Saccharomyces cerevisiae S288C: one gene and its partners. The gene in region 1 interacts genetically with each later gene. Each region holds a gene or a part of one and is shown on either strand. Other genes may lie near its edges.

The links. A genetic interaction does not mean that the proteins touch.
Region 2: mutations in RAD52 (region 1) and NUP60 together harm fitness more than expected from each alone (negative genetic interaction), as found in Saccharomyces cerevisiae (7 studies listed by BioGRID, with this or other methods).
Region 3: mutations in RAD52 (region 1) and REV7 together harm fitness more than expected from each alone (negative genetic interaction), as found in Saccharomyces cerevisiae (5 studies listed by BioGRID, with this or other methods).

What each region holds. Positions count from the first base shown.
Region 1 is NC_001145.3:212,000-215,623, reverse strand, and holds RAD52 (recombinase RAD52), read left to right. Parts: upstream 1-1,693; coding exon 1,694-3,109; downstream 3,110-3,624. Other genes in the region: NDC1 (Ndc1p), read right to left, coding at 1-1,435; SRC1 (Src1p), read right to left, coding at 3,469-3,624. UniProt on the Saccharomyces cerevisiae protein: Involved in DNA double-strand break (DSB) repair and recombination. Promotes the annealing of complementary single-stranded DNA and by stimulation of the RAD51 recombinase.
Region 2 is NC_001133.9:150,357-154,447, forward strand, and holds NUP60 (FG-nucleoporin NUP60), read left to right. Parts: upstream 1-1,900; coding exon 1,901-3,520; downstream 3,521-4,091. Other genes in the region: transcription factor TFIIIC subunit TFC3, read right to left, coding at 1-650, 741-810; ERP1 (Erp1p), read right to left, coding at 3,709-4,091. UniProt on the Saccharomyces cerevisiae protein: Functions as a component of the nuclear pore complex (NPC).
Region 3 is NC_001141.2:87,408-90,645, reverse strand, and holds REV7 (Rev7p), read left to right. Parts: upstream 1-1,929; coding exon 1,930-2,667; downstream 2,668-3,238. Other genes in the region: TMA108 (Tma108p), read left to right, coding at 1-698; tropomyosin TPM2, read left to right, coding at 931-1,416; AXL2 (Axl2p), read right to left, coding at 2,809-3,238. UniProt on the Saccharomyces cerevisiae protein: Required for DNA damage induced mutagenesis. Involved in DNA repair, mitochondrial DNA repair and translesion synthesis. Has a role in the bypass of abasic (AP) sites.

The DNA.
Region 1 (3,624 bases):
ATGATTGTCTTTCTGCGTAGGAAGGGAAAATAAACGACATTATAGAATTTTTCAGTTTTTTTAACATCAGACGCATAGCGGTCATAAATGTTGTTTCGTGGGTGAAAATAGAGCCGTTAAAAGTTTGTGTCGTTTCATCTAAATCGTTGTCGTAATACGAGGACCTATGCCTTTTCTTGTTTCCGCGGTTAAGCAATACACTATCGTCAGTTCTTACCCTCAGCCTGTTTGGTGATTCATCTAATAAGCCGTTATCCCGTAATGGCGCCATCATAGAGGGTCGGTTCCCAAAGAGTCTTTCGTTGGCGCTTGTTAGTTTCCCGTTCTCATACATATAATCTAGATTTTCTACTTTTTTTTTATGTCTAGCAGTTGCAGAGCCCCCAAGATCTTGTACTGATCTTAGGTACTGCACAACCTTTTCATTGTTTATCTGAATGGTCTTCAAGCATTCATTGAGGATTAATGACCAAGTATTACCACTACTGCTTCTGAACTTGGAGTGATATATTGGTGCTCGCAATGATGGATCCAGTGAAGTGGCCCTATACGCTAGTTCCTGGTAGGCAGTCAACCTAGTAAATGGCTTGTCTGCAGAAAGCCCACTAAGCAGGGTTTCCATCGGCGTCGACGACAAATTCGAAATTAGCTTGCCCTTGTGCAGACAACCTATGGACATATGTGCGTCAAATGCTATATTTATGAATTCGAAAGTGATGAAGATAATGCAGGAGATTATTAGTAAATTTGTGACAGCTAGCACGCCATTCGTAAATGAATCAAATAATCCCGATTTTTGCCTGGAAAAAAATACTGTGGTAAAGATTGGTAATACGAACATGCTGATTACACTTAGAATGACTGACTTCTCCATAATCCTCTTGACACGCTCTAATACGTAGTCTTGTGGGGCCTGGAAAAAGTTTTCGCAGTTGAACGACAATTTGTCAGCGTCAGTGACATGATGTTGTAGGTTGTAAATCGTGGGAACGACTAGCCAAATAAACAGCTTATAGTATGGCTTCCATCCAGATCCGCCACGTCCGAAAACCACACCCAGTACGAATGATAAAAGGATGCTGCCCATGCTATAGACTCCCTGGTATACAAGAAACTTTACTGATAACAATTGGCCTAGAATGAAAGTAAGTGAATTAGCGAACCCAAAATTCTTTACATGCATGTAATTTTTTCTTGTCACAATGATCAAAAGGGAAACTAGGTTAAGAGCTAAAATATTGGGAATAAATGCCAATGCCAGTTCCCATAACGGTGAGTGTGGCAACGCCAGCAGTGAAATCACCACAGTTTGGATAATAGAACATATGAAAAACAACCTCGTAACTAAATGGTTGAATCGGGTCTTGCACACGTCGCTAAAGATGGTATGGTACGTGTACCGTGGATTCAACAACTCCCTTGGCGTCTGTATCATCTGCTTGCCCTGTAATGTCCTTTCGTCTTCTCAATCACACTTACTCATCGCCAAAGAGTCTGCTCTTCCCGTTAGTGATTCTCGATGTTATTATATTCTTTAGTCTGTTAAGAAAAGACGAAAAATATAGCGGCGGGCGGGTTACGCGACCGGTATCGAATGGCGTTTTTAAGCTATTTTGCCACTGAGAATCAACAAATGCAAACAAGGAGGTTGCCAAGAACTGCTGAAGGTTCTGGTGGCTTTGGTGTGTTGTTGATGAATGAAATTATGGATATGGATGAGAAGAAGCCCGTTTTCGGTAACCATTCCGAGGACATACAGACCAAATTGGACAAGAAATTAGGACCTGAGTATATCTCCAAGAGAGTTGGGTTTGGAACAAGCAGGATTGCATACATCGAAGGTTGGAGAGTAATTAATCTTGCTAATCAAATCTTTGGATATAATGGCTGGTCTACGGAGGTAAAAAGTGTAGTTATCGATTTTTTGGATGAGCGACAGGGAAAGTTTAGCATAGGGTGTACTGCAATTGTTCGTGTTACGTTGACTAGCGGGACTTATAGGGAAGATATTGGGTATGGTACCGTGGAGAACGAAAGACGGAAACCTGCCGCTTTCGAAAGGGCCAAGAAATCTGCCGTTACGGATGCCTTGAAAAGATCTTTGAGAGGGTTTGGTAATGCTCTAGGAAATTGTCTTTACGATAAAGATTTTCTGGCAAAGATCGATAAGGTGAAGTTCGATCCGCCAGATTTTGACGAAAACAATTTGTTTAGGCCAACGGATGAAATCAGCGAAAGCTCAAGAACGAATACTTTGCATGAAAATCAAGAACAACAACAATACCCGAATAAAAGAAGGCAATTGACTAAAGTTACAAATACCAATCCCGACTCGACGAAGAACCTGGTGAAAATAGAAAATACAGTAAGTCGAGGTACCCCAATGATGGCCGCACCTGCTGAGGCTAACAGTAAAAACAGCAGTAATAAAGATACTGATCTCAAATCTCTCGATGCTTCCAAACAGGATCAAGATGACCTTCTCGATGATTCTCTTATGTTTAGCGATGATTTTCAAGACGACGACTTGATAAATATGGGCAACACAAACAGTAATGTTTTAACGACAGAGAAGGATCCCGTTGTAGCTAAGCAAAGCCCAACTGCTAGCTCAAACCCAGAGGCAGAACAAATCACCTTTGTTACAGCTAAGGCTGCAACTTCCGTACAAAATGAACGTTATATTGGTGAAGAGAGCATTTTTGATCCCAAATACCAGGCACAATCCATTAGGCACACCGTTGATCAGACTACGTCCAAGCATATTCCAGCGAGTGTGCTAAAAGACAAAACGATGACCACCGCGAGGGATTCTGTCTATGAAAAATTTGCACCAAAGGGAAAACAATTGAGCATGAAGAACAATGATAAAGAACTGGGGCCTCATATGCTAGAAGGGGCTGGGAATCAAGTACCGCGTGAAACCACACCAATTAAAACGAACGCTACAGCTTTTCCGCCTGCAGCTGCTCCACGGTTTGCGCCGCCTTCTAAGGTAGTACATCCTAATGGAAATGGTGCAGTGCCAGCCGTTCCGCAACAAAGATCGACACGAAGAGAAGTTGGAAGACCAAAGATCAATCCCCTGCATGCACGCAAGCCTACTTGAAACGCTTCCTGGCCGAAACAAATAAAAAATTTGCATCATTATTTATTACTCCAAAATCCTCTAGTTACTCTTTCAATTCTGATTTTATTTGTATTTCTTCCTATATCGTCTAGTTTTTCTTTCCTCCATGTGTCGTATTAATATTTACTTTAAATCGAATAAAAAATTCTTATTATTTTACAAGTCATTTTCAGGATTAGATTCATTATAACTTTACAAAAGTATTACATAAAGAATTATATAACAGATATTAGGATAACCGTATAAATAGAATAAACTATACAAATATGGCAACTCGGAAAAACAATAGATCATTAAGTTTGAGAAGAGAAAACTACGTTTGAGTTTCATTTTGTGGGTTATATTTTGTTTTCAGCGGAATCCTTAGGTTCATTGAGTTCCATCGGACCTATCCATTCCCAACATTTCATTATTTCACCTCGAATTTCAGTTAAGTTCGATTTAATATTACTGTTATTATGCTCTAAATATTTTACCACTTCTGACCATAATTG
Region 2 (4,091 bases), on another chromosome or scaffold:
TTTCTTTAAGTACTCCTTTTCATCTAACCATGCAATAGCTGCAATAAAAGCTTTAGAAAGTCTTTTCTCTTTGTCAAATTTCAATTCACGCTTTAAATCAATTATCTGGCGAATACCATTTTTTGATCGTTTTACCACCTCAACTATTGTTGCTAAATGATCCCTAATATTAATATAGGGATTACTATCCACCCCGTCATGGCTGAATTTTTTTAGCTTCAATTGCTTCACGACGTGTCCCTTATAAATCAGTTGTGAACTTGTTAACAGGTGGTTTATTTTCTTGATACGTCCAGTCACACTTCTAGGATCTTGCCCAGTTACCTGCGCCAAATCCATAGTATTGATCCCTTTTTCTCCTGATTTGGCAACTTCGAGAAGTAGTTCAAATGCAGAATTTCCAATAGTTGACTCCTTTTTTGTGTATCCCGTTAATAATGTCCATAGGCTGTCCTCAGTAATCCCAACCGAGTATGAATGATTAGCGTCGCCTATAATATCAGTCACATTTTTAGTTGTTATAGCACCATCACAATACACCTCAATGTCCTTTTTCAATATCACGCATGAAAGCACGAACTGTTTAACTTTTTTATCAGACAAATCAAAATATTTACCAGATATATCCCACAGCTGATTCAAAGTGATTTCTTCAATGTGTCGTTAGTAAATAATCTTTCACAATATAGTACGTTTATCACCTAAACGGAGCCGAAAAGGAGAATGAGACATGAACATACTTCCCTTATTTGAAGCAATTTTATCAGACACTATTTGTACGAGTTCGTCAGGATAAATCGTCAGTACCATTTTTCTTGTGGCTAGTTGGCTTCAACCAAACGTCCTCTTCTCTCTTATGGCAAGAAGAAAGTTATATGTGTGACTGGTTGTTTATTTCACTTTCGCGACTGAAAGCGCCGCCCTTTATGATGCAAAAAACCAAGCGGTATTTGAAAATGCAGATTTGCAGAAATAAAAGAAATAAAAATAAAAATCTTATAATTTTACCAGCTTCAATAACTCGATTTGCATAAGTGTGCCTTAGTATGCTTATTATATTGACTTTGACATTGAACTTCAAAACCTTTTATGTAATGATTTAAGTCTTGTCACATGACATAATAATAAATAATTTTAAAAATATAAAATATTTTTAATAGTTTTTAAATATTTTACAGTTTATTTTTTAAATTTATTTATATGTTTTTGTTTTCCGAAGCAGTCAAAGTATTTTAATTTTCGGAGCTTTCATTTCAAGCGCCTTTTTTTTACACATAATACGATCAAGATAAATTATTATAGTGGTACAGAACTCTTAAGCACTAGGCGGTGGACCTTATTAGCTCAATCTTGAGTCAGTCCATGTATCGTTTTATAATACTTTTTTAAGCACTTTCTTTAATAAATATTCCATTGAAGTACTGTTACTGAAATGAGATGAACTGTTCAGAATGTAGAAATGGCGCCAGAAATCAATCATTGTTTAGCAAAAACACCTTTCGTCTGCTGCCTCGGGTGTTTTTTCAAATTATTTCAGCAGGTAAATTAAGATAGTTATTCGAGTGATTGCCAAATATCATGTTCTACTTCGAAGACTTATAGCTAATTAATTTTTTCATAATGAAGGTGTCGTTAATTGTTCTGATTAGTAACATGAAACTCAAAAATCATCAAAAAAAGAAAAGCTAAATGTATACTTTTTTGTCTACATTAGTTACCTTTTATTACATGAGAAAGTTATTTTTCTTCTTTTTTTTTTTTTTTTTTTGAAACTTTTTCCTCTCGGAAAATAAAAGATATATTTACAAGTGAAAGCTTATTGTAATGTGTACTTTTAAACATCAAATAACAGACCTTTACATCAAATAAGCACCGCAAGATATCCTAAAATCGACATCCAATGCATCGTAAATCATTGAGGAGGGCTAGCGCTACTGTGCCTTCCGCTCCCTATCGAAAGCAGATTATTAGCAATGCACACAATAAACCAAGCCTTTTCTCTAAAATTAAAACTTTCTTTACCCAAAAAGATTCAGCCAGAGTGAGTCCAAGGAATAATGTTGCTAATAAACAACCACGCAATGAGTCTTTTAACAGAAGAATCTCAAGTATGCCTGGAGGTTATTTCCATTCTGAGATATCCCCAGATTCTACTGTAAACCGTTCCGTAGTTGTTTCTGCAGTGGGTGAAGCCAGAAACGACATTGAGAATAAAGAAGAGGAGTATGATGAAACACATGAAACTAACATCTCCAATGCAAAGCTTGCAAACTTTTTTAGTAAAAAAGGTAATGAGCCTTTATCAGAAATTGAAATAGAGGGTGTGATGTCATTGTTACAAAAATCAAGCAAATCCATGATAACTTCGGAAGGAGAACAAAAATCAGCCGAAGGTAATAATATCGACCAGTCGCTTATCTTGAAGGAGTCAGGAAGTACACCAATCAGCATATCTAATGCGCCGACCTTCAACCCAAAATATGATACTTCAAATGCGTCAATGAATACGACTTTGGGAAGCATTGGTTCAAGAAAATACAGTTTCAATTATTCTAGCCTGCCCTCACCATACAAAACAACCGTTTATAGATATAGTGCAGCGAAAAAGATCCCCGATACATACACAGCCAACACATCTGCTCAAAGTATAGCATCTGCTAAATCGGTAAGAAGTGGTGTTTCAAAGTCAGCTCCTAGTAAGAAAATAAGTAATACAGCTGCGGCATTGGTCTCACTATTAGATGAAAATGACAGTAAGAAGAATAATGCAGCTTCAGAACTTGCTAATCCATACTCCTCATATGTAAGCCAAATACGCAAACATAAGAGAGTTTCTCCAAATGCTGCACCAAGGCAAGAGATCAGTGAAGAAGAAACTACTGTTAAGCCATTATTTCAAAACGTTCCTGAACAAGGCGAAGAACCAATGAAACAACTGAACGCCACCAAAATTTCACCATCTGCGCCAAGCAAAGATTCTTTTACTAAATACAAACCTGCAAGGTCCTCATCCTTACGCTCAAATGTCGTCGTAGCTGAAACCTCACCTGAAAAGAAGGATGGTGGAGATAAACCTCCATCCTCTGCTTTTAACTTCTCGTTTAATACTTCAAGAAACGTTGAACCTACTGAGAATGCTTATAAGAGCGAGAACGCACCATCTGCATCATCAAAGGAATTCAATTTTACCAACCTACAGGCGAAGCCGTTAGTTGGAAAGCCAAAAACCGAACTTACAAAGGGCGATTCTACTCCCGTCCAACCAGATCTTTCGGTTACTCCTCAAAAAAGTTCATCGAAAGGCTTTGTTTTTAATAGTGTTCAAAAGAAATCACGGTCCAATCTTTCACAAGAAAACGATAATGAAGGTAAACATATCAGCGCCTCAATTGATAACGACTTTTCAGAGGAAAAGGCGGAAGAGTTTGATTTCAATGTTCCCGTGGTGTCTAAGCAGCTAGGAAATGGCTTGGTTGATGAAAATAAAGTTGAGGCTTTCAAGTCCCTATATACCTTTTGATAATGAAAATTTTAGCCGTGACATAATTACCGTATAGCCCAACTCAATACGTAAGTTTGTGTAAAATACCATTCCAAGATGATATTATTTAGTCATTTTTTTTCCACTTTCTCAAAAAGAAGGAATACCTTTAGCGGCTCTTATAAACTATAAATTTCTAGAAGATACATAAAAGGTTTTTAGTCTGATCATAAAATTTTTTGCTTAACAAAAAATTTGCCCAGGTGTTTCATTTGCCAGCCACAAGTAACAGCGAGAACAATTAATTGAATGACAATCCACCACATAGCACGAGAATTAACAGCTTCAGAGGCGTCTCTAAAGGTAGCTTCACGATCTCTCATCAATTTTTGCTCTCTTCTAATTTCGCCGATCTTGGAGTTTAGGACGTTAACCTTGGCATGTAGAATGTCAATAGTGGCTTTACCCTTAGAATCTAACTTTTCATCAGAGCCCACTTGGAATTCAACGTCAATCTTCGTTTTAGCCTTAATCAACCAGCCACCAGCTTCGGGCTGAATACAGATTTTATGTTCACCCGAATCAGACGCAAGGAAAGTTAAATCACCAC
Region 3 (3,238 bases), on another chromosome or scaffold:
AATGTGCTGAATTGTGTCAAATTTATTTTAAACATCTATTACAGGGCCCACGTTCGAGCGTACCGTTAGAATTAGTGAACTCAATCCTTGTCGTCGTATCGCAACATTGTGCAAACATCAAGCAGTGGAAGAAAATATTCGATTTGGTGAAACGCAGTTCCTGTACTGGTATCACAAACCATGTCATTAATATGTATGACCAAAACAGTAGCGAAACCGCCATGTTGATTCAAAACGGTGCAATAGAATCTCTTGGATTCTGTTTAGATTCTGATATCGTGAAAAAAACTTTGAATTTTATCACTTCCAATATTGAGTCAGAGGGGATGGAACTGGCATTATTCGGATTTAATTACAACTTTAAGAAGAGGCTGAACAAAAACGAGAAACCTCAAGACCAAGTCGTTCGTGAAACGATCTGGGAGTGGTATATGGGCAATTTTGACCAATGGGCACGGAAGGCTACAAGGAAAGGTACCACCACGGGGGATCATCTACACAAGGCGTTAAGGAGTATTTCCCTGATAATCTTTCAAATGTTTGTAGCAGACGAGCCACAGAAGATAGAAAAGTTTATTAATTTGGAGAAAGAGAAGTTGGGTCAAAGCTTGTTATCTTTGGACGACATCTGGGCCTCTGTCCAGCAAGATGAAGAGTCCAGAAAGACTATAAGAAGAGACTTGGCCTCCTTGGTCTGATTTTTTACAAGTATTTCAACACACTATCGTACGTAGATTTAGTAGTCTTCTAAAATAGTACTATAAACGATGTTCTCTTAGCAGAATTCGAGTTATTATTGTCATATACTACGAAAAACCTGTAGATTCAACAATAATAGGTTGGTATAAAAGAATGTAAACATAAGGAATATTAATCTAGTAATTTTTTTCTCATGAGGTTGAGAAAGCATCTAAAATAGCAATTAGCAAAATGGAGAAGATCAAAGAGAAATTGAATAGCTTAAAATTAGAATCTGAGTCATGGCAAGAAAAATATGAGGAGCTGAGAGAACAGCTCAAAGAATTAGAGCAATCTAACACTGAAAAAGAAAACGAGATTAAATCTTTGTCCGCTAAAAACGAGCAACTCGACAGTGAAGTGGAGAAGTTAGAGAGTCAATTGTCTGATACAAAGCAATTGGCTGAAGACTCCAATAACTTGAGATCTAATAATGAGAACTACACCAAGAAAAACCAGGATCTAGAACAACAGCTAGAAGACAGTGAAGCCAAACTGAAGGAAGCAATGGATAAACTGAAAGAGGCCGATTTGAACTCTGAGCAAATGGGTAGAAGGATCGTTGCTTTGGAAGAAGAAAGAGATGAATGGGAAAAGAAGTGCGAAGAATTCCAAAGCAAATATGAAGAAGCTCAAAAAGAATTGGACGAAATTGCTAATTCATTGGAAAATTTATGATTCCCATTGATAAGACTAAAATTACGGAAGATACAAACGACAAACGCGCTAAAGGCAACGGAGGTGATGATTTTATTATTGCTCACACAACTGATGTTGCTGACAGATGGCAAATCCTTTTCATTTTAGTTATTATCATTGGGTGCTTTTTGGAAAAAAGATGAACTAAGCCTCTCTTTATTTCGTCCATTTTATTCTAGCTTTTACATTATGCTTTCACCTTTACCAAAAAATAGTATGTATTTCTTTTCCCCTTGCTATAAATCAAAAGTACGTAGAAACATAAACAGGCGAGAAATACATATGCATATACGTCTACACTACTAATTTAATTTCCACTTTCTTAATATCAGTCAATCGAAACCACTAGCTTTCACACTAAGACTAGACCCTGTTTAACTAATATAAACTTTTCCAGAAAGCTAAAAAAAAGGTCGGAAAAAGAAGGTATACGTTTTTGCGACGACTGAGATCCAAGAAGAAAAAAAAAATAGTAATCGTTGCGTCAGCTTTATGAATAGATGGGTAGAGAAGTGGCTGAGGGTATACTTAAAATGCTACATTAATTTGATTTTATTTTATAGAAATGTATACCCACCTCAGTCATTCGACTACACTACTTACCAGTCATTCAACTTGCCGCAGTTCGTTCCCATTAATAGGCATCCTGCTTTAATTGACTATATAGAAGAACTTATACTGGATGTTCTTTCTAAATTAACGCACGTTTACAGATTTTCCATCTGCATTATTAATAAAAAGAACGATTTATGCATTGAAAAATACGTTTTAGATTTTAGTGAATTACAACATGTGGATAAAGACGATCAGATCATTACGGAAACTGAAGTGTTCGACGAATTCCGATCTTCCTTAAATAGTTTGATTATGCATTTGGAGAAATTACCTAAAGTCAACGATGACACAATAACATTTGAAGCAGTTATTAATGCGATCGAATTGGAACTAGGACATAAGTTGGACAGAAACAGGAGGGTCGATAGTTTGGAGGAAAAAGCAGAAATTGAAAGGGATTCAAACTGGGTTAAATGTCAAGAAGATGAAAATTTACCAGACAATAATGGTTTTCAACCTCCTAAAATAAAACTCACTTCTTTAGTCGGTTCTGACGTGGGGCCTTTGATTATTCATCAGTTTAGTGAAAAATTAATCAGCGGTGACGACAAAATTTTGAATGGAGTGTATTCTCAATATGAAGAGGGCGAGAGCATTTTTGGATCTTTGTTTTAAGTGCAAAAATGAAATTTGAAGAATGGAATTAAAATTAAATGTCTCTAAGTATAAAAACTAAATAAAATATAGGGTATCTGTAAACCACTAATAAAAAATAAAACAGGAAAATAAAATTAAGCAAAATATCGTTGCGTATAATCACAGCATTTCTGGGATGCGTCCGTGAATGTCCTTAACTTGACCAACATTGACATTACTCTTATTTGAAAAATCTACTAACCTTTTCTTACTTGGTCTTCTGTCTGGTTCCATGCTATGGACCCAGCAAAAATTTTCACCATCTTTAACCGGAACAAAATCGTCAGAAGATGAAGTTGACATTGTTGTGGGAGTGATTCCGTTTTTACCGCTTTGAGAGTCTTGAATATTTTGTAAGTGGCGGTTACGATGCTTCGTTACGTTATATGGTGATGGTGTTACTGATTTTCTTACGGGAGAAGGGCTAATATTGCTGTTCCAAGGGTCCAGTGAAGACATAGTGACATCCCTTGACGTACGTTTTTCCTTCTCTGGTGCTTCTAAATCGAAAAGTTTTTCTGTATCAACAGTTTTTTGTGATCCGTAACTG